Xenopus tropicalis: one gene and its partner. The protein of the gene in region 1 purifies or fractionates together with the protein of each later gene. This does not show direct contact. Links are inferred from orthologs where the notes say so. Each region holds a gene or a part of one and is shown on either strand. Other genes may lie near its edges.

Region 1 (16,318 bases):
GGCCACAGGATGTGTAACTGATTTATTAAACTTTTTCCTTCTTGGAGACGGGCCCACAACAGTATTAGCCTGGTTACATATGACATTAGTAGCCTGGCAGTAATTGCAAGAATTGTGCACTTGGCTTGCAAATCATTTTTAAATCACAGCTTTGGGCAGCTTTAATGTTTTAAGCAACACACTAATGGCCTGAAACAAGAATTTATATATATCAGTGATTTTGCCAAGTCTATGCAGGTTTTTCTGCATACACTGCATTTCTATAAAAAGGTACAATAATAAATGGGTTGAAACGAAAGGTTGATTCTGAATAAATAACTGCATTTAATGGGCCTTTCTTAAGGATGTACCGTAAGAATGACTTCCTGTTGGGCAGCAGCCCATGATGGCTGGACAATGCAGATGATTAAACAGTGCACAAAAGTATAATTGTATTGTGTGTTACACAGATAACAGTGATGAAATGTTCAGTGTTGGCAGCATTTGCAGTTTGTTAAGTCCAAACCCTAAATTTTGCAGTTAATATGCTCTCTAAAACAACTTGAAAACATCTACATCCTGTGCTGAGCTGTCCTTTCATGTTTAAATGCCTACGATTTATAAGGCTTGCAGCAAATAAAAATGAGCAATATTACGCATTATTCTGCCACACAATTATTCACAGGGATTTGCTGTGTATCCATACCTTTTGCCAAGGTTGAGAAGGTTTCCCACCATGCGCTGCATGACTTCCTTGGTATTGACAGCTGCATAGAATTCTTCTGTTACATGTTGCCCAATCATGCATTCACACTCTTTTGCAGTCAGGCGTCTGCCCCCACCAAATGCATCAACATAAAGATAGTCTGAGATGTTCGAACTCCTAAAGATCAGACTCACAGTAAGAGGGGTCACAGTTCCTAATACAGTTAGTAAAATGTGAAAGAAAGCCACAATAATGTACTAGGCCATTTTGCTGCATTTACAGATGTAGGTAATACTCTAATACAGGGGTCTCCAACCTTTATTTCTTGTGAGCCATAGTCAAATGTAAAAAAACTTGAGGGATGATTCACTAAGGTGCGTTTATAGCATGCGTTAAAAATTTTATTGCATCTTATTTTTCGCAACTTAATGCACAATTCACTAAAAGGATACTTGCGTTAATTTAGATGCGATGCTGTTTGCGTTATTTAAGTTGTGAAGGCTATTTTCGTGTGGTATTTGACGCAACGCGTGCTAATTAACGCAGCATGCATAAATTGCCGCCACGTGCTAAAAAAATGCACGCTATATTAGCCATACACGCCATTACTTTCGGAAAACTACTGTTCTGAAGATGACCATTTCCCTGCAAACTGGAGGCTACTTCACTCTAGGGCCAACACAGACTTGAATAAATCCCACTGCAAAGTCCATATTGTGTTGCCAAAAGTTCATGAACCTCCTGCCCCAAGTAGGTGTTAATTTTCGCACAGACTAATGCGCGTCTATGTGTTTGTGAATCATGTGTTAGTATTATTTCTGCGCGAGAATTAACGCAATGCGTTAAAATAACCAGGGCTGTGGAGTCGGAGTCAATTTTGGGTACCTGGAGTCGGAGTCGGCAAAAAATGAACCGACTCCTACTAAATTTAAATGGGAATAAAAAAAAAAAAAAATAAAGCAAGTTTAAATGTCCCAGTTCACAAACAGTCATAATTAATTACTTCTCTGCTATAAGAATAAAGCCCAATGCACGCAGTGCATAAACGAACACGTTGAGCGACCATGAAGCATGCTTTTCATGCGTGTATACGTGAAGGGAATGGATAGTCAATAGTTTAAAGGAACAGCAACACCAAAAAATGAAACTGTATAAAAGTAACTAAAATATATTGTGCTGCTGCCCTGCACTGTGTGTTTACTTCAGAAAATCTACTATAATTTATATAAATACCCTGCCGTGTAGCCCCGGGGGCAGTCATTCCTGCACTGGTACAGCTGGGGTATATGCTACAGAAACCCTACTATAGTTTAAATAAATACCCCGCTGTGTAGCCCCGGGGGCAGCCGTTCCTGCACTGGTACAGCTGGGGTGTTTGCTACAGAAACCCTACTATAGTTTATATAAATACCCTGCTGTGTAGCCCCGGGGGCAGCCATTCCTACACTGGTACAGCTGGGGTGTTTGCTACAGAAACCCTACTATAGTTTATATAAATACCCCGCTGTGTAGCCATGGGGGCAGCCATTCCTGCACTGGTACAGCTGGGGTGTTTGCTACAGAAACCCTACTATAGTTTATATAAATACCCCGCTGTGTAGCCCCGGCGGCAGCCATTCCTGCACTGGTACAGCTGGGGTGTTTGCTACAGAAACCCTACTATAGTTTATATAAATACCCCGCTGTGTAGCCCCAGGGGCAGCCGTTCCTGCACTGGTACAGCTGGGGTGTTTGCTACAGAAACCCTACTATAGTTTATATAAATACCCCGCTGTGTAGCCCCAGGGGCAGCCGTTCCTGCACCTATAAATACCCCGCTGTGTAGCCCCGGGGGCAGTCGTTCCTGCACTGGTACAGCTGGGGTGTTTGCTACAGAAACCCTACTATAGTTTATATAAATACCCCACTGTGTAGCCTCGGGGGCAGCCATTCCTGCACTGGTACAGCTGGGGTGTTTGCTACAGAAACCCTACTATAGTTTATATAAATACCCCGCTGTGTAGCCCCGGGGGCAGCCGTTCCTGCACTGGTACAGCTGGGGTGTTTGCTACAGAAACCCTACTATAGTTTATATAAATACCCCGCTGTGTAGCCCCAGGGGCAGCCGTTCCTGCACCTATAAATACCCCGCTGTGTAGCCCCGGGGGCAGTCGTTCCTGCACTGGTACAGCTGGGGTGTTTGCTACAGAAACCCTACTATAGTTTATATAAATACCCCGCTGTGTAGACATGGGGCAGCCATTCCTGCACTGGTACAGCTGGGGTGTTTGCTGCAGAAACCCTACTATAGTTTATATAAATACCCCGCTGTGTAGCCATGGGGGCAGCCATTCCTGCACTGGGTCAGCTGGGGTGTTTGCTACAGAAACCCTACTATAGTTTATATAAATACCCCGCTGTGTAGCCCCAGGGGCAGCCGTTCCTGCACTGGTACAGCTGGGGTGTTTGCTACAGAAACCCTACTATAGTTTATATAAATACCCCGCTGTGTAGCCCCAGGGGCAGCCGTTCCTGCACCTATAAATACCCCGCTGTGTAGCCCCGGGGGCAGTCGTTCCTGCACTGGTACAGCTGGGGTGTTTGCTACAGAAACCCTACTATAGTTTATATAAATACCCCACTGTGTAGCCTCGGGGGCAGCCATTCCTGCACTGGTACAGCTGGGGTGTTTGCTACAGAAACCCTACTATAGTTTATATAAATACCCCGCTGTGTAGCCCCGGGGGCAGCCGTTCCTGCACTGGTACAGCTGGGGTGTTTGCTACAGAAACCCTACTATAGTTTATATAAATACCCCGCTGTGTAGCCCCAGGGGCAGCCGTTCCTGCACCTATAAATACCCCGCTGTGTAGCCCCGGGGGCAGTCGTTCCTGCACTGGTACAGCTGGGGTGTTTGCTACAGAAACCCTACTATAGTTTATATAAATACCCCGCTGTGTAGCCATGGGGGCAGCCATTCCTGCACTGGTACAGCTGGGGTGTTTGCTACAGAAACCCTACTATAGTTTATATAAATACCCCGCTGTGTAGCCATGGGGGCAGCCATTCCTGCACTGGTACAGCTGGGGTGTTTGCTACAGAAACCCTACTATAGTTTATATAAATACCCTGCTGTGTAGCCCCAGGGGCAGCCGTTCCTGCACTGGTACAGCTGGGGTGTTTGCTACAGAAACCCTACTATAGTTTATATAAATACCCCGCTGTGTAGCCCCAGGGGCAGCCGTTCCTGCACCTATAAATACCCCGCTGTGTAGCCCCGGGGGCAGTCGTTCCTGCACTGGTACAGCTGGGGTGTTTGCTGCAGAAACCCTACTATAGTTTATATAAATACCCCACTGTGTAGCCTCGGAGGCAGCCATTCCTGCACTGGTACAGCTGGGGTGTTTGCTACAGAAACCCTACTATAGTTTATATAAGTATATATAATATATAATAATATAATATATAATGTATATAAGTAAGCTGCTGTGTAGCCATGGGGGCAGCCATTCAAAGGAGAAAAGGCACAGGCACATAGCAGATAACAGATAAAACACTACTGTATTCTACAGAACTTATCTGTTATCTGCTAAGTAACCTGTGCCTTTTTTCCAGCTTGAATGGCTGCCCCCGTGGCTACACAGCAGCTTATTATATACATTATAGTTTTACTGTAGCAAACACACCAGTTTTACCTGTGCAGGGCAACAGTGCATTATATTTTCATTACTTTAAAGCTCTTTTATTTTTTGGTGTTACTGTTCCTTTAAGACTGAAGCTTTAAAACATTTGAAAAACTGCTGTAATTCAGCTGTAATGTTAGCTTAAACTTTAAACATGACTATGGGATTCTAGGGAAATCATTAGGAGTAGGAGTATAGATAAAACTGTCTATCAGTTTATTATCAGTTCAGTTGTGTTTTAAGTGCCCCTTTCCCTTCCTGGATGTATAAAATACATTGGCATATTAAAAACAGAGGAGTCGGAGTCGTGGAGTCGGAGTCGGAAGTATCAGAAACTGAGGAGTCGGAGTTGGAGAATTTATCTACCGACTCCACAGCCCTGAAAATAACGCCTTGCGATCATGTGTTATTTAGCGCATGCGATATGCGACTTAATGCACGTCATAATACTTTAGCGAACCGCGTGTTTTTTTGCGTCAATTTTAACGCAAAAAAAGCATATGATAAAGCTTATCGCACGTTAGTGAATCAACCCTTTGGAGAGCAACACAAGCATTATAAAAGTTGATGGAGGTGCCAAATAAGGGCTAAGATTGGCTATTAGGCAGCCTCTATGCACACTATCAGCTTACAGGAGGCTTTATTTGGTAGTAAATCTTGTTTTTATTCAACCAAATCTTGCCCCCAAGGCAGGAATTTAAAAATAACTACCTGGTTTTGGGGCACTGAGAGTAACATCCAAGGGGTTGGTGAGCAACATGTTGCCCCTGAACCCCAGGTTGGGGATCACTGCTCTAATACAATTACAATAAGGACTTACTTGTTATAGTAATTATTAGGCCCTAACCACCAATAAACTTAAGTTAGACCATGATATATTTCCATCTGTTCTAACAGAAGCACTTGTCCATGGGGAGCTCAGTTGTATATACAGTGTTTAACAGCATCAGCTAATGTGGCTATTATCACTATTAGGCCCAAGAGAACATTTTTACTATATTTTACAGAGGCATCTGACCCCCACTATTAAGTTTTGAAATACATGACTGATTTGCCTTTAGGTCATTCTGTAGCTTGCTCATTTTATTTGGGAAATGCTGAACCCTATTTGCAACATAACCATTATAAAAAAAATGTGAATAACTATATTGTTTGTATAAGTATAAATAAAATATATATAATTACTGATAATTAAGTAATAACTTATTAATGACAATATTAAAGTCAGGCTATAATATTGTAACCAATAACTGGGTTTGATAAAAGAAAACTGTCATTAAGTCTGAGTGTGCAGATACATTAATATTTATTTACAAAATGTGTAATAAAATGATGCTAAAGGTTTTCTTACCCAGGAGGACCTTGGCACCATCTGAGCATGAAATGATGGGGGAAATTGACAGGCTCAAGCTCCACCCCCAGGTGACTAGCAAGGGTTAAATACAATACGGAGAGGCTGATTGGTATACCAGTCTTGGTGATAAGAACCTTAGCAAAGAAACAAAAAATAAGGTCACATGCAACACCTGGGAAATAACAGGCTGAGGATCATTATAAAAACAACATAAATACAAAGAGTAACATTATTCCCCAGGAAGCCACAACAAGCCTAAGGGCTCTGGTAGATGGGGAGATTAGTTGCCCGTGACAAATTTCCCTTGTTGCGGGCGACTAATCTCCCTGATATTACATCCCACTGGCGAAAATGTAAATTGCGCCACCACGTATGCCATCCCGCCGGCGATTTCGCATTTTCGCAGGTGTGAAGTCATATCGGGGAGATTAGTCGCCCGCAACAAGGGAGATTTGTCGTGGACAACTAATCTCCCTGTGTACCAGAGCCCTAAAGAGCAAAGACAAAGATAGTCACTTAATCCAAAGGTACATTACTGACTAAAATCAGGCAGAACTGCCATACAAAAAAAAAAATTATGCTGAGTTCAATGAGTCAAGAGAAAATGATGAATTTGAGTAACATATTATTTATACAATAAGGGGCACAACATCTTATCTGCACTAGATAATATATTATGTTCTTAGCTATTACAATACCTGAGAACATAAAGTACATAAGGAAAGCTATTTATTTTAAAGACAGCTATTTATACAGTATATGTTCCCTCCAAAGCCATTCTCACCAAACCTGGAAATATCATATCTGTTTGGCAAAAAGGGGAATATAGGAAAGGACAGCCCAACATGGTGGCAGCCACCCCCAATTCACCACACACTATAGAAAGCAGAGAGAATATGAATCCTAAAATCCATCACTTCACAAGAGAACAAGATGAGGGAGGGGTTGCTTTACACTGTGAGCCTAAGAGGGTGGGAAACTGGTCCCAAATAGCACAGAGACAGACCATCATGGTTTCATATTAATCTGTGGAATAGGGTATGTCTATGTAAAAATTAGATTTACATTTATTTTTGAAAGTTCGGATAGTGTTTATGCACCTTTTCTATATAAGCTCAACTGAGTTTATCTCAAAAACAGGGGAGGGCATTGTTTCCCTTCAACTGGTTTGCCATTGACCCGTAGAAAAAGTGCATGAGTGACAGTGTTTGTGTTGTTAAACTAAGCTCGTACAGCTTTAATTTAATTTATTACAATCTCTGTTGACATTGAAATATTGTCCCCAAACTGCCTCCCCCTAAGGGGCCACAAAGCAATGGACAAGGTGCTAAGCCTGAATAACAATTTGGGAGACATTTGGGGCAAATACTTAATAATACTGGAAGCTGCCACTCTTTATTTTATTTGCACACCTTTAATGTTACTGCAGTTATATTACATATATTAACATTTAAAAGTAATTCCTTAAAAAGTACTATTTATGGAAACCAAGTTTTACTTATCCTAGCTTGCTATCTTCTCCTCTAATTGTGAGAATACATAAACCTCAGCCAAAAGCTATATCCACCTATCTCATGTTCCCCTTATCCCTTTTACATTGTACTTAGGAGAACCCTCTTTTTCCATAATCTATTTTTGTATAATGAATGCTCCATAAGCCCTACTGCTAGAACTGACAAATATGTTAGAATATGTTGCATATTGTGGCAAGACACCAGTACTACATATGTCTGTGAAACCTTAAAACTAATGAACTCCTTATTTTCTTTTAAAGCTCCTCTGTATTATTTAGAGAGGTTTATATGATATATATTTATATCTGAAAGCTGAAATACCTGCATTTGCTTTCCATGCATGCTGGTCTGCATTTGCTTACACGGTCAAAGATGTTAAACCATTTTCCAAATACCTGGTGGATGTAGGAATTCAGTGGATTATAGAAATCCGCCACATTGCCCTTGAACATTTGTTCAACAAAGAGGACATGGTTGAGAGAATCCAGAGCCTGTTGCTGCAAATCCACATCTTCAATATAACACATTCCACCTGCACAGTAATTTAATGATATTAAATTCTTAGACAAAATTCAGGTGATCTCAGGATCTATAATGTATTTGCCTAAAGTAGGCCAAAGTGGAACTGCCAAAAGTAGTAGTGTCAAAAGTTTTTGTTATCGTGGAAAGGCAAGAGGCCCTCTGCACTTACCCATAATCAATATATTTAGGAAACTAAAACATTTTGTACATTAAGCTACTAAAAAATACCCTCCACTTTAAACAAAGCATGGTTTGCACTCCCTGCACTTAATGTCCTTATTATATTGATATATTGATTATGGGTGAGTGTAGAGGATCTTTTGTCTTTGTCTGTATGAATTTTGTGGCCATAACCTTATTGCACCCCCAGCTAATGGTTTAAAATTTAGTGGTGAGCATAACTTTCCCTTTTTACTATATATATAGCTATAGTTATAGTATAGTGGAAGCCTAATAAGTCTTTTTCACAAATAGCAGGATAGTAAATGTTATTAGTGAAAGAAAATAGTAGTAGTAAATATCATTATTGAAAATAATGGAACACATTTTAAGCCTCATTTCAATGTCAATTATTTCTACCTATTTACTGTCTGTATAAAGTAGAAATAAAAAGTAAAAAAAAAAAAAAACATTTTTCTGTGCAAATGCAGTTTACTAAATTCAAGCCAACAGTATCGGAGCTTGATATTGAGAGGAAAGCCAAACAGTGCCACCTTCTGGTTAGAGAGACTACAACAGAAAATGTTTTGGATTACTGTATGAAAGTCTTAAATTGTATAACAAAAATATATTACTAAATATTGATACATTACTAATAGAATGCAGACAATTCTGCACATTTATTGTTGCCACTTATACTGTTCCCCAATATCCCCCACACTGCAAAATAACTTTTCAGATGTCTCATAACCTTGCTGCACAATAGATTCTGCAGAGATTCCTCTAGAGTCAGAAAACAGACAGCAATATTAGTATGAAATAAAGACAGTCTGTGCATACCTGCCTGCAAAGACAAGCTGGGATGTCTGGTATTTCTTGCACTTAAAGTAGCTTTAACTTTGATTAGTATACTTTCTATCTGTGCCTGAATTTTCTCAAGACACACATCTTCCAGTGGGTTACAGTATTGGTCAATCAGGACAGCACCTGTGACAGAGAATCAAAAGCCAAACATACAAATAAATACTCACACAAGGACAAGCACTGTTCTATAATACTGCAAAAAAAAAAAAACATAAAAAAACCAACAACAGAAACAACCCAAAATACATACCAAGTATATTAGCACATACATGTACTAAGTTGCTGCAATACCACAGGAAATCAAAGGACGTTATAGCCCTAAATTTAACACAAACCCAATAAATGAATCTAATGGTGAAAATGATTTCTGTTAATTGCCTCAATTAAAAACAAAAATGTAAACAGTGCTTAGAGGACACTGCTCACCAAGGAAGTCTACAGAAGCTGAGGGGCCCAGTACACCCATATTAAGGCAAAAGTCAATAAGCAGACAATTGTGAAATCTGTGGACAGCTCTGACAGCTGTCACCATTTTGTTTAAATCATAGGACAAAGAATATGACTACAGAACTCCCCTGTAAGAATGCTTTAGTACTAAAAGAGGCTTGCATCAGCAAGAGACATTATTACCTTCTAAAATGTCCTGATGCTCTACAGGTTGCTGAAGGAAGTCTTTCAGTCTGCACATTGTTGCTTCCTGGCGCATAAAATACAGGAGCTTCTTTGCGCAGTATTTCAGCGACAAACATTTTCTGTCAGTAAAACATTAAAAGACTCAAACTAAGTTTTCTGAGGTAAGTAGAGGCACAGGACAGTAATTATCCTATGCAGGGATACATCATATTTTTCTATTCTTTCTTTGGCAAATGGACCTCTAGCAATGCCAGTAACTAAGCTCTCTGAAAGGAATTTAGCATTTGCATTATTTCATTTGCAGGCCACAAGATTTTGCAGGCTTCAGATGCCATACACTGTGCATGCCTATACCTCGGTTCCTGGGAGAATATTATTTTGCATTTTTAAATACTTTGGGCTGTGAAATTATTGTTTTTCTACATACACCTCATTGTCTTTGGGTCTCAGAGCAAGGACTGAATTCTAAATCTCCAGCCCAGTCCTAAATAAATTAATGTACTGGGATATTGCATTGTAAGCAACCCCCTGCTGTACATATTTTGCTTTGAATTCAAAACTAGAAGCAAAAAAACAAGTTTTACTGTACCTGTTTTCACTATTCACGATGGCTAATAACTCATCCTCAACAAAATGTGCAGGATATCCAAGACTATCCAGATCATTATAACTTTCACATGGAATGCGCTGTGATAGAGAGACAAACATCTAAAGCATGAAATACATGAATACCAACTGCTCCTAGTTTAATGTATGCATTCCTAATAATATATACCAACACATAATATAACCCAAAACTTACATGGTCATTATACCTGAAAATGCAAATTATGCCTCACTCAGAGGGATATTGGCATACTGTTTTGGCAGTTCCTGGCTATGAAAATGTGCAGTATTTGTCTTTTCTATAGATATTTACCTCTATGGCCACAGCCCCAAGGCATCAGAGTACTCCTCTGGCTGGTATACTGTACACTCTTTTTTGGCGTCTTGTTAAGAGATTATGACACAGTAAATGGGCTAACTGAATTGCAAAAAATAGGATGTGGTCAGAAAAACTGTCTGTAAAGGGAATAATCACTCTGTGTATATATTCGCTCTATTAGAAGGTTCATCTTTACCAGGATCGCATCACCATGTGCATCCTTCACTTTCATCTGCTCATGTGCAAACTTTCCTGTGCTTGTTCCAGAGATAGAGCTGGTTGAAGGGGACAAAAGTGCGCTCACGATACTAACAATGTGTGCATGTGCTGAACCGGAATAATAGCTATTATCTAGTATAAATAAAGCAACTGGACTTGTTAAGTAATCATTGATTTTAGATTTATTTATACTAGATATACCATAACCTGGATGAATGAAAATCGTCATAGTCAATAATAGCTATTGCGCACGCGTCTCGTGACTTCTGGGTAGCACTCGTTCTATTCTTCCAGCTTTTGGGAAGTAAGCTAAGCTAAAGATCTTTTAAACAGGGGCTTCAGTGAAATTACTACACTCACTACACTCATGAGGTATGCCTTTCCCTGAACTCCTTATTATACTTAGCCATTCCTTGTCATTTAAGCAAGGGGAACACAATTAAAAAACAAAATAATAAAATGTAATAGGAGAAAGATAAATGGAAAAGATTACATATGAAAATGCCAAATGTTATGCAAAAATGCCTAAAACATGACTTACATGCTCTACAACAAGCTGCTTAGTGAAGGATGCCACAGTTGCGTGTGTTGCTATCCCCGCATTATGTCGAGTTTTGTACTCTTCCTTCCAGTCCAAAGAATCCAAGGGACTGTAATACTTCTTTAAAGATGGCCATCTACACAAAGGAAACAATCATTTCTCTGCAGTCACAGTCCTTAGACATCTTGGTACTTACTGAAAGGCATTTAAAATAATCATGCATTATGAAGGGTTAAATTATCCATCCATTGTCATTGGCAGGAGGAAAAAAGCACCATACAGCACAACCCATGGGCACTATATATTAAAGGGGACCTGTCACCCACATATAAACCTGTATAAAAAGTCCTTTACAAATTAAACATGAAACCCAAAATCTGGGAACAGGCAGGTACTTTCCATTTAGCACTTCCTAGATGCCATTGCATTTGGTCAAAGGAATCAGGTGCCAGACTGTGGAGCATAAGCAAGATTGTCGGATGTTGCAAAGCTTGTCTTAATAACAGGGTTTACAAAATGGTAGCTACCTGTTTGCTGTGATTGTATATTTGCAAGACTGAGGGATACAAAATTAATATGATTTATGTTATGTAAGTTAAGTTTATTTTGCTTAACTAACATGAGAAAAAAGGATTAGAATTTTTAAGATGACAGGTCTCCTTTAATAAACCCTAATTAAACCCTAACCCTAAAATTCAGATCGAAATTGTAGGATTAAGTACTGAAAAAACAAATCAGAGAATGTTCTGAACATAAAATAATTGACAGACAACAATCGTATGAAAATGACATCCCAGAAATGCATTGTGGGTCCCCCAAGGATATCGTCACATATACAGTACATGTGCAAATTTTATCGTTATCTGACCAAAATGTTCGAACCTGTCCATTTGACTAATCATACAAAACAGACTTTCCTGTGATTATATTGGTGCATAAATGGCCAGCTTTAGCCTACTATAGGCCTGTTAGTTTGAAGGAAAAGGTTGAAGTTGAAGGAAAGCTGTTAGAGAGGGTAATAAGGAATATATATATATACAGTGGTGTGAAAAACTATTTGCCCCCTTCCTGATTTCTTATTCTTTTGCATGTTTGTCACACTTAAATGTTTCTGCTCATCAAAAAGCGTTAACTTTTAGTCAAAGATAACATAATTGAACACAAAATGCAGTTTTTAAATGAAGGTTTACGTTATTAAGGGAGAAAGAAAACTCCAAATCTACATGGCCCTGTGTGAAAAAGTGATTGCCCCCCTAGTTAAAAAATAACTTAACTGTGGTTTATCAATTTCAATTTTCAATTTCAATATCAATTTCTGTAGTCACCCCCAGGCCTGATTACTGCCACACCTGTTTCAAACAAGAAATCACTTAAATAGGAGCTACCTGACACAGAGAAGTAGACTAAAAGCACCTCAAAAGCTAGACATCATGCCAAGATCCAAAGAAATTCAGGAACAAATGAGAACAAAAGTAATTGAGATCTATCAGTCTGGTAAAGGTTATAAAGCCATTTCTAAAGCTTTGGGACTCCAGCGAACCACAGTGAGAGCCATTATCCACAAATGGCAAAAACATGGAACAGTGGTGAACCTTCCCAGGAGTGGCCGGCCGGCCAAAATTACCCCAAGAGCGCAGAGACAACTCATCCAAGAGGCCACAAAAGAACCCAGGACAACATCTAAAGAACTGCAGGCCTCACTTGCCTCAATTAAGGTCAGTGTTCAAGACTCCACCATAAGAAAGAGACTGGGCAAAAACGGCCTGCATGGCAGATTTCCAAGGCGCAAACCACTTTTAAGCAAAAAGAACATTAAGGCTCGTCTCAATTTTGCTAAAAAACATCTCAATGATTGCCAAGACTTTTGGGAAAATACCTTGTGGACCGACGAGACAAAAGTTGCACTTTTTGGAAGGTGCGTGTCCCGTTACATCTGGCGTAAAAGTAACACAGCATTTCAGAAAAAGAACATCATACCAACAGTAAAATATGGTGGTGGTAGTGTGATGGTCTGGGGTTGTTTTGCTGCTTCAGGACCTGGAAGGCTTGCTGTGATAGATGGAACCATGAATTCTACTGTCTACCAAAAAATCCTGAAGGAGAATGTCCGGCCATCTGTTCGTCAACTCAAGCTGAAGCGATCTTGGGTGCTGCAGCAGGACAATGACCCAAAACACACCAGCAAATCCACCTCTGAATGGCTGAAGAAAAACAAAATGAAGACTTTGGAGTGGCCTAGTCAAAGTCCTGACCTGAATCCTATTGAGATGTTGTGGCATGACCTTAAAAAGGCGGTTCATGCTAGAAAACCCTCAAATAAAGCTGAATTACAACAATTCTGCAAAGATGAGTGGGCCAAAATTCCTCCAGAGCGCTGTAAAAGTCTCGTTGCAAGTTATTGCAAACGCTTGATTGCAGTTATTGCTGCTAAGGGTGGCCCAACCAGTTATTAGGTTCAGGGGGCAATTACTTTTTCACACAGGGCCATGTAGGTTTGGATTTTTTTCTCCCTAAATAATAAAAACCCTCATTTAAAAACTGCATTTTGTGTTTACTTGTGTTATCTTTGACTAATAGTTAAATGTGTTTGATGATCAGAAACATTTTGTGTGACAAACATGCAAAAGAATAAGAAATCAGGAAGGGGGCAAATAGTTTTTCACACCACTGTATATATATATATATATATATCCTTTATCGTGATATATATATATATATATATACTGTATGTATCCTTTATTGTGAGTGCCTCTCCTATGAACTATAATATATTATATATATATATATATATATATATATATGCAATAGTGGTCAACCCAAATTAATTATGTAAGAGCTGGATATTAACAATAATCCTGACCCACCTTGCTGTTCTATCACACCTACTTTCATATCTGTTACCTTTCTTCCCTGTTTGTAACATTGATGTCAGGTATCACCATTACTGGCCAAGCAGCACCTTTTGTGAAAAAAACACTGGCCTTCCTATATACTTACCTTTTTTCCCTATAAATAACATTGAAATCCAGCATAATTTTTACTGACCAGGTGGCAACCCTACATATGGGTTATGTACATTATCATACACACCTGTTCAATGTGCAGTTACACTTAAGCAGACTACATGTTAGAAGAGTGGGTGTAGTATCGGACTCTGGGGTGCCACATATAGAATTGAGTAATGGCCATGGTAGAGGCATACGAGGCAAACGGTTGGGTGAGCATGAGGGCCCACTGACACCTGGGCCCACCGGAACTTTTCCTGGTATCCTGTGGGCCAGTCCAACAGGGAGTGGTTGCCATGGGCAACTCCAATGGTTCAGTGTAGCATATTTGGTATCAACCCCTCCATTCCATTAAATAATTGTCACATAACCTAGCACAAATGGTTCCTCACATACAGGGTCTCACACTGCCATACAGAGTAACTTTGTAAGTACAAGGAGGACTGTGTTAAAGCGCAATAAAGATTAGCAGCCTATCAGTCTTCATATACAGAATAGAAAGAGCAAAGGAAATGGCATTCAGGTCACAAGATATGGAAATCATCGTGAGCAGTAAGTGAAATGTGCAAACAGAATGCATAAAGGGTCTGTCGTGGAATTTGGTGGCCTGTTATTCACCTGTCAAACAGCTGTCGCCTCCAGACTTTCCCCCGCCCAGCACACGCATCCCTTAGCCGCCGGCACGTACAGCTCATACTAACGATATCCTCATGGCCGAGGCTGCCGCTGCACAGTATGTGTTCCACGATCTCACAGGGAAGCTGAGCTATGCCAGGTGGGGACAGTGTATCATCTGCTGAAAAGTCTTCAGTGCTGCTTGATCCGGCTATCGTTAAGGAAGCTGCCATTTTGCCTTGTTTACATGTTTGACGTATTTGACGTGCGCAGGCGCTCAGTAATGACGCCACGGCGGCTGCGCAGTAATTGGGCTGAAGCTTGGCTTCTTTGAAATCAATGGGAGCTATACATCTGTGCATCTGTATATTTACACATTTTCCTGTAAAAATAAGATTTTTATTAGGTTATTTGGGCCCTGACAACCAAAACCATACAGTACTATTAATGGCTTCTGTTGCCCTCTTTCCTAATTTATTGTAATAGAATTATTTTTCATCGCAATGTTATTTATAAAGAGAAAGCTAAAGCTAGGAAGGGCAGGCTAAAGTTTTTCCAGAATTTATTTAACCCAGCCCAGCCTTCTCCTTTGTCCTACTGATTTAAACCTCCTTCTCTTTCTTCCTTGTGCCTTTATTCTGTCGATCCCTTTATTTTTTTGTTCCATCTCTATTTTTCTATTTTTTCAGTTTAGGAACCCTTTGCCAGTGGACTTCCCTGGCTAGTCCACCATTGTGAGTTTGGGTTTGGTGTGGGTCAGACTGGGGAAGTACACTCTTCCTCTGCTTCCAAAGTTTCCCTGGCTTGAAACCTAAGGGGCTTGCACAAGTAGTGTACAGAGTGAAAAGACACGAATACGGGTTGGGTGTGGGTCCTACAATGGCAACATTTTTCAGGTTAGTTTTGGGTGCGGGTTAAGATTTTGAGGCGCACATCACTAATCTACTCTGCGGAAAATTGAGCTGAAATTTGAAAGCTCTGTTAAGAGGGTTTTGTATAACTATAGAGGGTAACGTCACTGTTTTTGGTTGCTCATCACTAAGTCATAAATCATTGGCTTGCAAAAAGTCTCAAAGGTCCAGTTAAATTCATTAGAGCAGCACTGCATACATTTAGGTGAGATGAAGCAATTTGTCGTCAATAAAACTTGTTTACTTGGTAGAATAGACCTGAGGCTATCACCCTGCTATTAAGCCACAGTGTAACGAATTGGTAAAATAAAGAGAGGGCATCATTACAGCAATACTACCTCACCCCCAGCCCCCCTCTAACGTGACAGAGACCTCTTCACCTATAGCTACTGTAGCAGTGTTGTATGGTTTGGGTCAAAGACTCAAAAGGCTGGAGCAGCAGCATTATTTATTATTTTGAACCCATAGGCCCACCTCCCTGCACCAGTGCTAGCTGCCAAATCAGACAGAGGGTTTGTGGGCTGGTAGACAGGGAAAGGAGATATTTGGAATGTTTGTATACAGTGTGTGTATAAATATATAAATACATGCAGACACAACAATTGAAGTATTTTATTCTGTAGGCAGGGATACCCAAAAAATAGTTTTATTAAAAAGAAGCTGAATATATGTCAAAGTATAACAAACAAAGTTATTAAATTTTAAAGGA
Region 2 (16,318 bases), on another chromosome or scaffold:
ATGTAATCTAAAAAGGCTGAAGTGGGTCGATGTCTAACATAATAGCCAGAACACTTCTTCCTGCTTTAAGCTAAAGTCAGTGACTTTAGGGGCGGTCACTGATTGGTTATTGACTACTAACAGCTTAGAGAGCTGTAAAGGTGAAAGTAATGTTCTGGCTATTATGTTGGACATCTGCCCGCTCTAGCCTTTGTAGATTACATTTTTGGCTAACTAACTACATTGAAAACATGAAAACATTTGGGCAGTCCTTTTACCCAGTTTCAATTGTACACTGAACAATTCCTTTAAGGAATATAAAAACCCTTAAAGAATTGAATGCAAAATTGCTCAGGCTGCTCTAAGAATGTTTTTTGTTTGTTTGTTACACTGCTTATTAACTTCTAATACAGGTATAGGACCTGTTATCCAAAATTCTCAGGGCCTGGGGTTTTCTGGATAAGGGGTCTTTTTGACATTTGGCGCTCCATACCTTAAGTTTACTGAAAAATAATTGAATCAAATCCAGTAGGCTTGTTTTGCCTCCAATAAGGAATAATTATATCTAAGTTGGGATCAAGGTCTTGTTTTATTATTACAGAGAAAAATAATATACAAAAAATAGACTCAACTCGAAGCAAATGATTCTATGGGAGATGGACTTCCTGGATATTGGATCCTATACCTGTATTAAGAATTTTGTAACAGTTCCACCTGCTGGTCAGTTCTGATGTTGCTCTGCTCAGGAAAGAGATCAGAAACCATGTCCTCCTTGTGGGTAGCAACATCAGAACAGTTCTGTGTTTTCTTTCCTGTAACATATTCTCTTCAATTATACAGTCATAAGAACTGACCAGCGAGGTTGTTACAAATTCATTATATTTGCAATTTATAAACAGCATAATAGCTTAGAAACAAAATAAAAAAAACAATACATTAAATGTAAATTACAAGAGTGCTTAGAGCCCTGGGCAATTTTAAATTCATTATTTTTTTGTGACTGCTCTAGTCCCTACCCCACCCCCCTTTCCAAAAGGGCTAGCCTCACATTAGGCAATCTCTGATTTAGATGAAAACATTGGATGGTATCAAACTTAGGTATCCGGTGACATTTAATATGTAGTAAATTTAAGTTTCTTAAAACAAAGACGTGGAAAATAAACAGTATTATAGTCTGCTCAAATTCCATCCAAAGATTGTGTTTAGAGACATCTTTGAAAAGAAGCATTTACAAAATATACCTCCCATTCCATATCCGGCACACTGATGCCAGCCCCACACGTGCATCACTCCTGTGTACATCTCTTTATTTGTACACGTACACGTATGGGACCTGTTATCCAGAATACTAGGGACCTGGAGTTTTCCGGATAAGGGATCTTTCCATAATTTGGATCTCCATACCATAAGTCTGCTAAAAATCATTTAAATATTGAATAAACCCCATAGGATTGTTTTGCATCCAATAAGGAAGGAGAAAAAGGAAATCATTTTTAAAAATTTGAATTATTTGCTTATAATGGAATCTATGAGAGATGGTCTTTCCGTAATGTGGAACTTTCTGGATAACGGGTTTCCAAATACAGGATCCTATACCTGTACTAAAATGCCTTAGAAAAATACATTTCAGTTTAGGAATGGACAAAGCTCTAAATACATTTTCAAGGTCCCGTATTAGGGATAGGAAGCAGTAAGGACTCAGAAATGCAGTTTTTGGAAGACATAATATGTAAGGTGATTGTTTATGAGCAGGTACTTTGTTTTTGTTGTTTATTTTTATCTGGTAAGAACCATGGGCAAAGGTTTAGGTGATATGCTTTCTCATTGCTTGAATTTATCAAGCTCTAATTGTTAGCCTTTGGTATTTAACAATCTTGTGAGGGGGTGTTGGGTGGTATTGGACAAAGTATTTCATTTAAGAATCCCTAAAGCAGTGCACAGGCAATGTACTTAAAAACAAGCTGTAAATCTTTTAATCTGGCTGCCATCCATGTATTATTCATAGTAGATGTTAAATATTTCTACCCTGAGCAGCTGTGCAGACATAAATATCCCAGTTTGAATGATGATACTGGATTTGCACTACAGAATAAGTTTTAAGTAAGATGTGAGCAGATTTGGAAAGTGTCCCCTGCATATTGTCATTTATACTGGAAGTTGTCTGCTGGGGCTCTTTTTTCTTGTAAATAGCTTTCCTGTTGTGTAAAGATTGGGAGACATTTCTGACATTTCTTTTTGACACCATATTCTGACCTAAAAGGAACTCTTCATCTTTTTAACTTGTTGGGATTTTTCTCTTTTGAATAGATCAAAATTGTGGTTTCCTTTAAAATGTTATGTAGGAGAATTTCCTTGGGGCATGGTGGGAACACATTGTATTGTCTCATAATTGAAATGTAAATTTTGCATAGCTGGATGTGTTTTACACATCTTAAATTCCCTGAATTTTGTAGCGCAAAAGTATGTTAACTCACTTATTCACCAGAAGTCTTAATACTTGCCTGCCATGTTAACTGGGTTAAAAGGGAGTGGAGAGAGAGAAATGCAGGACTATTTAATTTAAGGACTCTGTCATAACCTATTAAAAAAAATTTGTTATTTTTATGTTTTTACTTGCATTGCAATATATAAATAGCCATAGAAAGAGCAGATAAATCTACCCACATCAATCTAACGCCTAGAAACCCTGCATTAGGGCTCCATTAAGGGCCCATGTTTTTGCAAATTGCCGGTAACTGCTTTTTGATGTGCCTGCACCTAGAGCCACTGCATAAGCCTGGGGCAGGCTCACAGAGCAGATTTTGGCAAAATAACTCGTACTATAGCATTTCCTTGCTGAAATCTGCTCTGTGTGTCTGCACCCAGGCCGATGCAGTGGCTCTAGGTGCAGGCACATCAGAAAGCTGTAAAGCTGGCCATACACGCACCGATAATATCGTACGAAACCCCGTTTTGTACGATATTCGGCATGGGTATGGCAAGTCGGCGAGACGACTGATATCGCAGGAGGCTGCTGATATCGGTCGACGCGCCGATCGGCCAGGTTAAAAGATTTTGATCGGGCGCCATAGAAGGCGCCTGATCAAAATCTGCCTTCAGGGCTGAACCGGCAGAAGGAGGTAGAAATCCTATTGTTTCTACCTCCTTATCTGCTGTTTCAGCCCTGAAGGTTAGTGGCGGATTTGACGATCTTTCGTGCGACCGATGGCCACATTAAGGAGCAATGGAGCAGTTTTTTGGCCTGCATTTATGCGCAGGCCAAGAATCTGCCTGATTTGGCACCAGCCTTTTTGGATTTATGAAATGTTTGTAGTTGTCAGGGTTGCACCTTCTGTGTGTTCCTTAATATACTCTTTCAGACATGTTTATAACTACTGCACCAGTGTACACCAATCTAACCAAGCACGGGGGGCTGGAGTGCCGCCATCAAAATCTAAGAAAGGACAGACTCCTGGAGGTGCCCAGTTTGTTGGTTTGGAGCTCTACAAAAGACTAAAGGAGTTCTTAAAGAATTACTTGACAAATCTCCTAAAGGTAAGTTTTTGTTAAATTGAATCTCTGAGGGAATGCAATATGAACAACATGTTTCTAATACTTCATAAAATAAATGGATTTATGTTTCATATGCTGTATACAGACATAATTGTGCATTCTTCATTTTATCGTATCTGATTTATTTTTATTGTAGGGCCACAGTATATCATTAATACTGTGTAAAAAAAACAAACCAAAAAAACTACCTGCATAACTCATTGGCACTACTACTATAGGGGAGCACAGGTTTAAATCATGCTGCAGAGCAGTGTAGGTAACCTACTACCAGCTGCAGCCTACCAGTTGTCATGAGCTTAATTTTCCTGCAGCAGGATATCTGCTGCCATTTGTATTCCAAGCATATTTTGTGATATTAGGAGTACAGAATGCTATCAAAATACATTGTTTTGGTTCACAGGTCTTTAATATCTTCCATACTAGACAGGTTTAATGCATCCAAACTTGTTGCTAAAGCTGCTTGCAAGATGACTTTTATATTTTTATTTGTAATTATTACTGCATAGAAGGCAACTAAAATTGTTTGGGAATATGGTATATTAATATGTACTCCCCAGGATGGAGAAGATTTGATGGATGAGAGCGTACTGAAGTTTTACACACAGCAATGGGAAGATTACAGGTTTTCAAGTAAAGTGCTGAATGGAATCTGCGCATACCTCAACCGGCACTGGGTTCGCCGTGAGTGTGATGAAGGCCGCAAAGGAATATATGAAATATATTCTGTAAGTTGGATAACATTTGCTTACATTAGTAAACCCATTTCAACAGATTGCTTGATAAGAGAACCTATAACTGACTATTTTTCTTAACAGTGGGTGATTACATCGTTAATAGGTCTTTGTTTGTGTTCCTTTCTCCTAGCTGGCCTTAGTGACATGGAGGGATTGTCTGTTTAAGCCTTTGAATAAGCAGGTAAATATCAATACCTTGTTATACAGTCAAACTTATTGTTATTTGTGACATTTACATGATCGTTATTCTTGTAGCTGTGCTATTATGCAGTTCATCAAAGAGGCACTGTGTAAACTGAACCTTAAATTATGGCATGGTTGAAAATCAAAACAATTTTTCCCTGTGCTTCCCCTCTCCAAATACAACTGGCTTTAATATAAATTTTTTACTGTTTCTCTTACCATTTACCACAGCAAGTTGTAAGTTATGCTGTGTTCAGTAATCATCTGACAATGTATACTGCAGATGTCCCTCCTGTTGGCCCTCACTGTGCTAGCCCTAGTGTTGAGCATTGACAGTGCTTCATGCTCACAGCATACCTGAGGTGCCCATTCTCATCTTCAGTAGTGATCTGTAATTGTTGATGCTGCATTTCCAAGTTGGTAGACGGGATGTTTTTTTTGTTTTCTTCCATTCCGCTCATATTTTTTTAAATCACACCTCCACATACATACATATAACAAAAAGTTGGTAATTGTGAAGTAAATTTGTGACACTATTTGGTCTGTTTCAAAAGGTAACAAATGCTGTGCTGAAACTGATTGAAAAGGAACGAAATGGTGAAACAATAAACACCAGGCTTATAAGTGGAGTGGTGCAATCTTATGGTAAGTTAATTTTAATATGTATCCCTGCATCTGCTAATGCATAACTAATCTTTACAACATCACACTCAGAATTACACAGAGATATGGATACAGTATTAGATGTTAGGCAAGTGCTGTGAGGTTTTTCTTCTGATGATCTGTGTTCTGACTGTTTGATTTGATTGCCATCATCCTTGCATTATATATTATATATATATATATATATATATATATATATATAAATAACACTGAGAGGAGCACTCAAATATAATAAAGTGTCTGCCTGGGTGCAAATAAAATTAATAATAAAAATAGAAAGCTTTATACATAACAGGACTTGTGCAAAAAATCAAAACAACAATTAAATCACTATTTGATTTTCAGTTAAATGAGCCTAAATTAATAACACTTGATTAGTGATTTTTTTGGGAGGAAATTTCTTCGTTAAATCTGTTTAATGTTGTGTGCAGAGCCATATTTATAGGCGCCCGAGAGCCCCATTCGCAGCAGGGGATGGCCTACGGATGCCCCAAGGTTTGGGGGTGTGTGAATTAGGTCCAATGCCTAGGGTGGCACTAGACCTAAATATAGCTGGTTATGTAAATACAACTGTTAATGTGTCTGTGCTAGAAAAGGTTAATGCTTAGTCCACTTTGGTTCACGTAAAATAGATGGGTTCTCGTAATAAAAGGCACCATGCCAGCCAATGTAAAAAAATAAATTGAAAAAAAATCACAAAGCAGTAAAAATATGTTTTTCTTTCAAGTTGAGCTTGGCTTGAATGAAGATGATGCATTTGCCAAAGGCCCAACACTGACTGTTTATAAAGAGTCCTTTGAGTCTCAGTTTTTGGCAGACACAGAACGGTTTTATACAAGAGAGAGCACAGAGTTTTTACAGCAGAACCCTGTCACAGAATATATGAAAAAGGTAGGTCTGCTTTCTTTTGAAAATCTGCTATACTGTTACCAGGGTGAGGTAACCTGGTTCCAAAGAAGCAAGTATTGTTACTAATGCTAGATGTTAGGCAGCCATTTGCCAATGCTTCTGTTACACACACATTATAGGGCTTGATAGCTCTGTCTCTTCAGTGACTGTATAGGAGAAGCACAGCGAATGGTGCAAACATTTTTAGAATTGTAATTCTTTCATATATGGTGAGCAATGATTGCTTCATTCGCATTTTCAAGATTATTCTTTCTCTCTGCATTTCCCTTTATATAATAGTTGGTGTAATAATGTTAATTTTTAGGGGGGGGGGAGGTAAAACTGATAATGCTCCACACACCGCAACACACCACATCAGTTTGTATGAAATACAAACTGAAGTGACAGTTAGTGGCACCTTCTAATTGTGCAAAGTGATACATATTCACAGAAGTAATGCTTAGTGAATAGAATACCTATTCTGTCTAAGAAAAGAAAAGTCTGCATATTAGAAGAGTTTATGCACCCTGCTGTGTAATAACATTGTTCTGTGTGTGCCTAAGGCTTATTATTGCTTTTGTCTTTTTTAGGCAGAAGCTCGGCTTTTGGAGGAGCAGCGCAGAGTACAAGTATACTTACATGAGAGCACACAGGATGAACTAGCACGGAAATGTGAACAAGTCCTAATTGAAAAACATCTAGAGATTTTCCACACTGAATTTCAGAATTTACTAGATGCTGATAAAAATGAAGGTAATTATCTAACACGGGCCACTATGCTCCAAAATGAATACATTTCTACATGGGCCGCGAGCTATTACAAACAATAGCTAATTTCTGTGTAATGCTGGGAGTTGTGTACATGCACAGTTGTTGGCTATTGGGCCAGTAGCTTCTATGAATTTCTTGAATTCCTATTGGTTTATCAAAATAGATTGCCAGCCTGTATACCAATGTTAACCTTCTTACACTGTTAGAGCAAAATTAAGGTGGCCATACACGATACAATTGCGATCCTATGATATTGGTCATAGGAAAGATCGTTTGTCCACTTTACTAAAAAAACAAAAAAAAACTTAAACTTAAAAACAAAATAATTCTTTATCCCTATCTGATGATTCATTATTAACATTACAATGTTCGGGCAACTTCAAAAGCACCATCAAAAATTTCAGTACTGTCCGATCAACGAGACAACCAATATACAAAGTTATTACCGATATCAGTCGCCTTGTCTCCCACCGTGCACGCACCAGTTATCATCCGAAACTTAGTTTTGTGCAATATCTGCATGTATGGCCACCTTTAGGCAGGATATTTCCAGTTTGCCTAAATGTCATCTTTATTGCCTTGCTATAAATAACAAGTTGTTTTACTAGACAAACAAATGCAAATAACACTTCTAGTACTTTTATATTAGTAGCTAGCCGGTGAAGCCTTGTGTACTTTTGTCTTACAGACCTGGGCCGTATGTACAATCTTGTTTCCCGAATCCAGGATGGTCTGGGAGAGCTGAAAAAGCTTTTAGAAACTCATATTCACAATCAGGGACTTGCTGCCATAGAAAAATGTGGAGAAGCTGCACAAAATGTAGGTTATTAATTATGTATTTTCATTTTTGAATTTGCCTGTTCTATTGCATTCTTTACAAACAGCGTTGTTGTAGTCAGTAAACAAAACACTTACATGGTTTTGAGGAATAAATAGATATATCAGAAAATGCATGCTTTGTGCAGTATATGATTCCAATAAAATATTTTTCTAGTTAGTATTTTTTTTAGTATTATGCTGTGTCAGAATTTTTTTAATGAATTGTTCTTTGGTCTAGGCTCCTTTGCATTAAGTTGTAATATCAAATAATACTGTTAATTTAATAAGAAATTCCTTAAAAGAGTACATTAGGAATAAATTCTTGACCATACCTTATGACTTCATACCTTTCTTCAGGATCCTAAAATGTATGTACAGACTGTTTTGGATGTTCACAAGAAATACAATGCCTTAGTCATGTCAGCATTCAACAATGATGCTGGATTTGTGGCTGCACTAGATAAGGTAAGTACTTTTCTATCCAAAACCTTCGTTGTAACAATTTCAGGGCATTTTCTTTTAATACTCTACTTTTTATGGTAAATCGTAGGCTTGTGGTCGGTTTATAAATAACAATGCTGTGACAAAAATGGCTCAGTCTTCTAGCAAGTCACCAGAGTTGCTTGCCCGGTATTGTGACTCTCTCTTGAAGAAGAGGTAAGCAGAATTAGCTTGCTTGTTAGTAGGAGTTTTATGTACTCTCTTAATTGGTTGGAATATCCATTAGTTAATCTCACTGATGCCCTGCCAGTATTAGATGTTCTGCTTTTCAAACAGTGTTGTAGGTTTGCCACTTCTACCATATAAACAACAAGGATCCACTGAAGAGCCAAACTGTATAGTGTAGTTTTATCTCAGTGTGAGATGCATTGTGTTACGTGTTTCGGATCCCATGAGTCCTTTCAAATAGCACCAGTAGAAGTACCCATGAGGTCAGAAACACGTAGTGCTAGACATCTCTAAAGTTAAAGCTATACTATATTGTTTGGCTTTCCGTCTGATGAGGTTTAACAGGACTTTGTTCCACATTTAAAGTAGGTGAGGTTATGCACATTTTTAAGTGAGGTTATAGTAAAAGAATGTTGAGAGCTGCTATATTTATACATGCTTGGTTTATGTTTTAACCCTTCACAACAGCTGAGATTTTATACTGCTTGTTATAATTACCTATAATTAAGTGCTGGATAAGCATGAAATGCATTAGACTATCCATATGGGGTTGTCAGTGATTTAATGGATTAAAATAAACAATATTTTTAAGTAGTAAAACAACTCTTTTGTAGTTTCAAGTAAAATTTTGGTGTTCCTATTGAAACACATCGTGTTGTACAATTAAACTTCAGCAATGAAAACAAGGCACCACCTTGCTTCACATATTTGTTTGTTAATTAAGCCAAGTTCTGAGACAAAGCAATAATCTCTTAGGGTTCACAGCATTTCAGCATAAATCCACGTGTAGTTCCGACCTACACATTCAATTGCATGACTTCAATAGAGGCTACGGAACAGCTATGTAAAAGTTTTAATCAAGTGCACTAAAAGCTATTTAGCCTAGGGCCAATATTATCAGCCATCCAGCAGTCACCTAAATTTTATCTGCTATGTGTGGCTAATCCAAGTGCCCATAAGCATCACTTAAAATCCAGAAATGTAATAAGATGTTTCTGTTGCTCTCACCAGTCTGGTTCCTCCGTTTTTATAGACAGCTTCACTTTAATTTAGCCTACAGAAGAGTAAGTTAGGATCCAGTGTAAATTAATTATAGCCCTAATTACTTTTCCAAGGACAAATCTTCTCCCACTACCGCAATTGAAGGTACTTTATTTTTTTGTGCAATGTTATCTAATAAACACTTCTTTTGATTTTAAGTTCCAAGAATCCAGAAGAAGCAGAGTTGGAGGATACCCTTAACCAAGTGGTAAGCAGAAAATGTAGCTGTCATGGACTTTATTGAATCACTCGTCTTCCTCTCCAGAACGGAAGTCAAAAGAGCAAGACACAATTTTAATGCACTATTTTACTTGCTGATTTATTCCAAACCAATTTCCAACCTTATAGATGCCTGCATTGTTTGACTGAACAGGAAGCAGGGGGTATATAAGGCTGTTGGTAAAGGCTGTTTTGGTCCTTTGTTAGCTATTGACACCTAAGTTTGGGAATAGTGTGGCCAGGCAAAGTAAGTTAGTTAAGATACAAGACACCTTGATTTTTAAGAAGAAAATTTAAATGTAATGAGTAATTCTACATAGATATGCTGTGCTGTCGGTTATAATATATAGATATAGATAAACAAAAAAAAAATTATGAAAAATATATTAACATTTAATTAACGTGTATCCTAAATGCATATCTATTTTGAAATTGTTATTTTAGATGGTGGTCTTTAAATACATAGAAGACAAGGATGTGTTTCAGAAGTTCTATGCAAAAATGCTTGCAAAGCGATTGGTTCATCAAAACAGTGCCAGTGATGATGCTGAAGCAAGTATGATATCAAAACTTAAGGTAAGATTTCCCCACATGTAAGCTCTCACATTAGTTATAGTGAGAGCTTGTTAAGTTGTACAAAGGGAACACAGAGCATGAGGTATACCCTTTAAAAGGTGGTGGGTGCTTTTCATTCCTCTTGTTATGATTGCTTTGTGAAATCATCCATTTTCCTTGTCATAATTTGTAGCAGAATTTTGTGCAGGATCTGTTCTAACTAATGCAGAATCATGGAAAAAAATTTGCATTGAGACACAAACATCATCACATCAAATCACGTGCACACGTGCAATCTCTTTTATGTTTCAAATGTCTTTTCCAGATGTCTTGGGGAGTCTTATTCAGGGGTAAAAATATTAGGTAGCCACACAATTATTGCTTTTCAAATCAATGCTTTGGATGGCAGAACAGGTCCCATGGGGTCCAGCATGTAGCAGCCTATGATTGGCACCAGATAAATGTGCACTGTAATGATGAGCATTTGCTGTGAGGTTGTTCGAGACATATCCAGTGGGTTGGCAAGCGCCATGTTGTTGAAGTAGCTGTGTTATTGAAGGTTATAATCAGGTAGAGTTTGCAATATATTGCAGTTCTTTCACATTCTTGTAGGAAATTATTTTGTTCATTTATCTGGAGTGACTTAAAGGGATCTACAACTTTCCAATATACATTATTTAAACATTTCAGTGGGTTAAAAGTTAGTTATGATTGTCATTTTAATTTAAAGCAGTATTTGTTCATTATTTTCTGCTCTCTGGTTCTGACTCTTAAGGGCTCTGGCACACGGGGGAGATTAGTCGCCCGCGATAAAACTCCCTGTTCGCGGGCGACTAATCTCCCCCGTGTGCCAGAGCCCTTAAACAGAGTATGGGAAGTCTGTTCTCCAGGTCTGATAATCATTGGCATTGCTACACTACATTGTGTCAAGAGTCAGCAATAGACAAGGACAACTACTATTAAATAGCAGTTACAGTAATGAATAACTAAACCACTATGTCTTAATTAATGTATATTAGGAAGTTGCTTTTTACTTATTTTTTTGAGAAAAAAATAATTGGGGGTGATAGGTAGGATACCTTTAACATGATCTAACCATATTGGCTTGCCTTTAAATCTAAAATGCCATAATGCAAGCAAACAAATCCCTTTTATAAAGCTTTTGAGCTGCCTGTGGAAGTCGTCATCTCATATAAACATCATACTTTGTAATTTATAATGCTACTGCAGCAGAATATACAGTCAAGAGGAAGTACATTCTGTTCCCTCCCCAAATATTTATAAAAATACTTTTAACTTGTGTTCCAAATGAGTGTATGACCCTTTTTGTCTGCATTTTTTTTCTGCAGCAAGCCTGTGGGTTTGAGTATACATCAAAGCTTCAGAGAATGTTTCAAGATATAGGTGTGAGCAAAGACCTTAATGAGCAGTTCAAAAAGCACTTGACTAATTCTGAGCCTTTAGACTGTAAGTACTAAGCATCAGTAAATGATATTGCATACTTGTATGGAAAACATTTAAGTTTTATCACTATTTTATAACCACCAGTGATTGTAATAGAATCAAAATGCAACATACCACCTATATATATATATATATATATAATATAATATAGCAATCAATACAGGATTATGCTGCAGACTTGTATTAACAGTTGTGTTCAGTGTCAGAGAGAGAAGAGGGGCACACATTTGTTTCTTACTGTGCCAAATGCAATGTACTTCCATTACATTCTTTGTTTTACTGATTTTAGAGACGCTTCCTAGTGCACATACTTCTGTACTTTTTAACTGTAGCTATTTGAAATCATTGATATCATTAATAATTTTAGTGAGCAACCCAACAAGAACTGTTAGTGAAAATGCTTACATATTGATACCCAAAAATCTCTTTATTTACCAAATTTGCAGTCCTTCCTAGACTCTGTTGGTGATAAATAAGAAGAAAAAAAATTGTGTTGGAAGACTAATTGCATACTATGACTAGTTTAACATTTTCCCAGTTGCTTCTGGCCCTGTTTTAGAGGCTATCACATGCTGTTGCTTTGGACGTGCCAAAACACATTTTAAGGAAAAGTAAGAGTCTTAGGATAGAGTCAGGTATGTCACTCTTGTGCTTTACAGTCCATGAAACATAAGTGTATCTTACAACATGTCTTTCTCTCTGCAGTGGACTTCAGCATACAGGTTCTCAGCTCTGGGTCATGGCCCTTCCAACAGTTCTGTACATTTGCTTTACCTTCAGAGGTAAGCTCAGTCACATCATTACTTATCTTAAAGCAAATGTGTGTGAACTAAATGAATATGCATGTGTTTAGTATGATGCCTACAAAGTGTTCTTAAATATAGTTATATGGCATTTAAATGCCTTAGCACATCCAGCATTCACGTGCACTAAGATTACATAGCACAGATTGTAATGCTGCATTAATTTTTGTGTTTGTGGGAAAAAAGAGAGGAAACTGTTCCCCCATGGTTATTCCTGATAATGGTAACAGCTGCAAAGTGCTTGTTTATATACATGCTAAGGCAGTGCTGTCCAACTTCTTTGGTACCAATGGATGGAATTTTTCCGGCCTACATGGTGGAGGGCCGATAATGGAAGCCAGTTTTGACCACTCCCCCCTTTTAAACCACACTTGTGTTATCACATGACCATACCCATATTAAAGGTAGTAGTACAGCAAAAACCTGCCATACTCATGCCTGTCCTACCCTGCCTGTGTGTGCCGTGCTCTACCCGCCCTATGCTGCCTCTGTACCATACTCTGCCTGCCCTCTGCTACCTGTGTGTGACATACTCTGCCTGCCTGTGTGCCATACTCTCTCTGCCCTACCCTGCCTGTGTGTACCATACTCTACCTGCCCTATGCTTCCTGTGTGTGTCCTACTCTTGTCAGTATGGCACACACAGGCAGCATAGGGCAGGCAGAGTATGGCACACAGGCAACATATGGCAGGTAGAGTATGGCATGCGCAGGCAGCATAGGCCAGGCAGAGTATGGCGCGCACACAGGCAGCATAGGGTAGGCAGAGTATGGCACATGGGCAGCATATGGCAGGTAGAGTATGGCACACAGGCTGCATAGGGCAGGCAGAGCATGGCGCACACACAGACAGCATAGGTCAGGCAGAGTATGGCACAGGGGGCATACAGTGACACAATGCTGGCACTACTCCTACAGTCTGCACAATAACTATATATTAAAAGACTTTTTAATTGCAGTACCATCTCAGTATATGTTCTTTTTATAGTGTGAAGGGATTATTTGTAGATTTCTACTGCTCCTACAGGTCTGAGGTGTGAATAGGTGAACAATGTGGGTCTTACAGTCTGAGCCTAAGGTATGAACAATGCAGAGGGTAAACAATGTAGGAATTAAAAGGTGTGAACACTACAGGGGATTACATATTTAAACAATACAGGGGGTTTACAGCCTGAATCTGAGGTGTGAACCATGCAGGGGGCCAGTTATTCACAGTCATTTAAATCTTACCCAAAGGTAAATCATCAAACCAGCCAGACAAGTGGGGGGCCAAACAGAGGGGGGTCGCGGGCCACCAGGTGGACAGCACTAACAAACCATGAAATCTTACTCTATCCATAATTTCCTTTAAACACCAGCAAGAAAGTTAGTAATTAGCATAGTACTTTTATTAAATTGAGTTTAAAATAAATCAAGTTACTTATTTCATAAACACCAAATAGTTACTACCCACTTGCCCACCTGCAGTTACTGGACCTGCTCACTCCTTGTGACAAGATCCTCATAGTGACTGTAGTCAGGTAACTATTTCTTCTTAGAGTCTAAAATCCCCAGCAGCTAGTAATCATTTATGTCTTCTGCTGAGTAAGCCGGTTTTGTCATTAGGGGAGGATGTCATTATGGGATGCATTATTTATAGGAACCCTTTTGTAACCCTTACACTATACGACCAAAAGGTGGTGCAATATGCTAAGAAAACAGATTCCATTAATGCAATAAGTTACATCTTTCAACCAACAGAGGGTGCCACCATGCTAGAATTTCAACATAATACAAGTTACAGCTTGCAACCAACAGATGGCGATACTATACTAGAGCCGCATTGCATTAAGAATTAAATCAAAAAGTAACTCAATCCAACACATGGTACAACCAAACTAAGAATTATTTATAATAATATATCAGTAAATCTTGATTACTTAACAAGTCCAGTTGCTTTAGATTTATTTATACTAGATATACCATGACCTGGATGGCATAATGTAACAGTAACTGCTGCTGAATTAGTCCAGAAGGACAGTCAGCAACTTTTATCATGGTATGTATTGCCATCTTTAGGCAAATTATCCAGAAAGGCTATATATCTATATTTTTGTTTTAAATATGCCAGTGCAGTAGGGTTAAGTTGTTCCTCTCTGGAGGCAGGACAAACTGAAAATTCTTTCTCCAATCCCTTTCCTACTTGTGTCTCCACCTCTTGCCCCAGTTTTTTTCAGTTTGTCCGGCCTTCACCTCTCTCTTATTTTACTTAGCATTTAATTTTTCATTTATCTCCTTTCCTTTGCATGGACATAATGACAGAGAGACCTATATTATTACATCAGGTCCAGTTGATTGCTCAGAAGACACCTCATGAGCTTCCTTCCTCCTGCAAAACCATGGTAGAGCCACCCTGCATGTGCTCCCACTGGTTTATCTTTGCTGATCTAGCTTAATGGTAGAGCCTCTGTCTCTGTGTAATTATCACCGTTTCTTGGTGAAACTCTCACAGGCACACGCAATGACATCAGGTGCCCTGCAGTAACTTGGTGCTGAAGTTGAGTGTGTCTTTCCACCAGATATGTGTGTTCCCAAGCGCCCACTTCCTGGGCTGACGTTTTTCCTCCTTACTTGCTCCTATTAGGCGCCACAGCACACTAGGTGACTACACTAGGACTGCCTTTTTTTTACTGTATCAAGGAACACTTACCGTATATACTCGAGTATAAGCCGAGTTTTCCAGCACTCAAAATGTGCTAAAAAAGGAATCCTCGGCTTATACTCGAGTCAAGTAGGGGCACTGATGGATTACCTGTCCTGTTCGGCGAATCCATTGCCGAACATGGACGCATCGCGCTCCCCCCCTCCCAGCCAAGTAGGGGCACTGCTGGATTACCTGTCGGGCGATTCCGTTGCCGAGCATGATGGACACATTGCGCCCCCCCCCCCCCCCCCCCCAGCCAAGTACAGGCACTGATGGATTACCTGTCGGCGAATCTGTTGCAGAGCATGGACGCATCGCGCCCCGCCCCCAAGCCAAGTACAGGCACTGCTGGATTACCTGTCGGCGAATCTGTTGCAGAGCATGGACGAATCGCCCCCGCGTCGCCCGAGCGCACACGTCGCACGCCAGTCGCGGGGGGTTTGCGCGCGGCGTCCATGCTGCCCAACGGATTCGCCCGACAGGTAATCCAGCAGTGCCTGTACTTGGCTTGGGGGCGGGGCGCGATGCGTCCATGCTCTGCAACAGATTCGCCCGACAGGTAATCCAGCAGTGCCTTAGTGCAAGTTAGTACTGTGTAATTCTGATCAAAGGGCATTACATTTAACAAAAGACAAAGCAATTCTTGCATACATCCCACTTCATAGAATACTTCTATAATGACTTCTGTCTAAATATCAAATCTTTTTAGTATGTAGATAAGATTCACTGGCATCTCTCTCCGTTTGCATTATAGACTTTAAGATGCTCAAACAGTATGGCTAAGGACAGGTTACATTACAGGCTTTACAGTTTATGCAGTTACACACTGCTTCTTTGGGAAGCAATGGGCTTATTATATGTCTGCTTAAATATTTGTATGTTGGCCTGACCTGCAAAAATCAACAATAAATATTCTACTGCATCTGTGCAGAGGGCTGCTAGCTGCTGCAATAGAAAACATGTCCCTGTGTGTGCTTTACTGCAGTAGGAATGGGACCCCTAAATGTATGCACATGTATCTCCTTATTCTGGTGCATGCTCGGCAACGGATTTGCATGCTGTGGTTAACTTATGTTGGATGCGCCTCATTTTCCAGCCCACACCTTGTGTTTATTAATATGGTAGTTGGCTAAGCACTTGTGAGTGTCCTTTTATTAAATAATTTGATTATTGAAACTTAGCAGTAGCGGCTGCATTTCCCACCCTAGGCTTATACTCGAGTCAATAAGTTTTTCCAGTTTTCTTAGGTAAAATTAGGTACCTCGGCTTATACTCGAGTATATACGGTACTTACAA

Evidence for each region.
Region 2: the proteins of fbxo21 (region 1) and cul1 purify together in Homo sapiens (affinity purification with mass spectrometry; 6 studies listed by BioGRID and IntAct, with this or other methods). This does not show direct contact. The link is inferred for Xenopus tropicalis from reciprocal best matches to the Homo sapiens genes FBXO21 and CUL1.

What each region holds. Positions count from the first base shown.
Region 1 is NC_030677.2:164,842,338-164,858,655, forward strand, and holds the start of fbxo21 (F-box only protein 21), read right to left. Parts: upstream 14,956-16,318; 5' UTR 14,932-14,955; coding exon 14,702-14,931; intron 11,215-14,701; coding exon 11,079-11,214; intron 10,081-11,078; coding exon 9,983-10,080; intron 9,513-9,982; coding exon 9,391-9,512; intron 8,884-9,390; coding exon 8,737-8,883; intron 7,748-8,736; coding exon 7,611-7,747; intron 5,836-7,610; coding exon 5,699-5,835; intron 863-5,698; coding exon 686-862; intron 1-685. UniProt on the Homo sapiens protein: Substrate-recognition component of the SCF (SKP1-CUL1-F-box protein)-type E3 ubiquitin ligase complex.
Region 2 is NC_030682.2:55,186,552-55,202,869, reverse strand, and holds part of cul1 (cullin-1), read left to right. Parts: intron 1-3,338; coding exon 3,339-3,513; intron 3,514-4,088; coding exon 4,089-4,256; intron 4,257-4,395; coding exon 4,396-4,446; intron 4,447-5,002; coding exon 5,003-5,093; intron 5,094-5,838; coding exon 5,839-6,002; intron 6,003-6,589; coding exon 6,590-6,752; intron 6,753-7,458; coding exon 7,459-7,589; intron 7,590-7,946; coding exon 7,947-8,054; intron 8,055-8,139; coding exon 8,140-8,246; intron 8,247-9,458; coding exon 9,459-9,507; intron 9,508-9,962; coding exon 9,963-10,094; intron 10,095-11,422; coding exon 11,423-11,540; intron 11,541-12,242; coding exon 12,243-12,319; intron 12,320-16,318. UniProt on the Homo sapiens protein: Core component of multiple cullin-RING-based SCF (SKP1-CUL1-F-box protein) E3 ubiquitin-protein ligase complexes, which mediate the ubiquitination of proteins involved in cell cycle progression, signal transduction and transcription.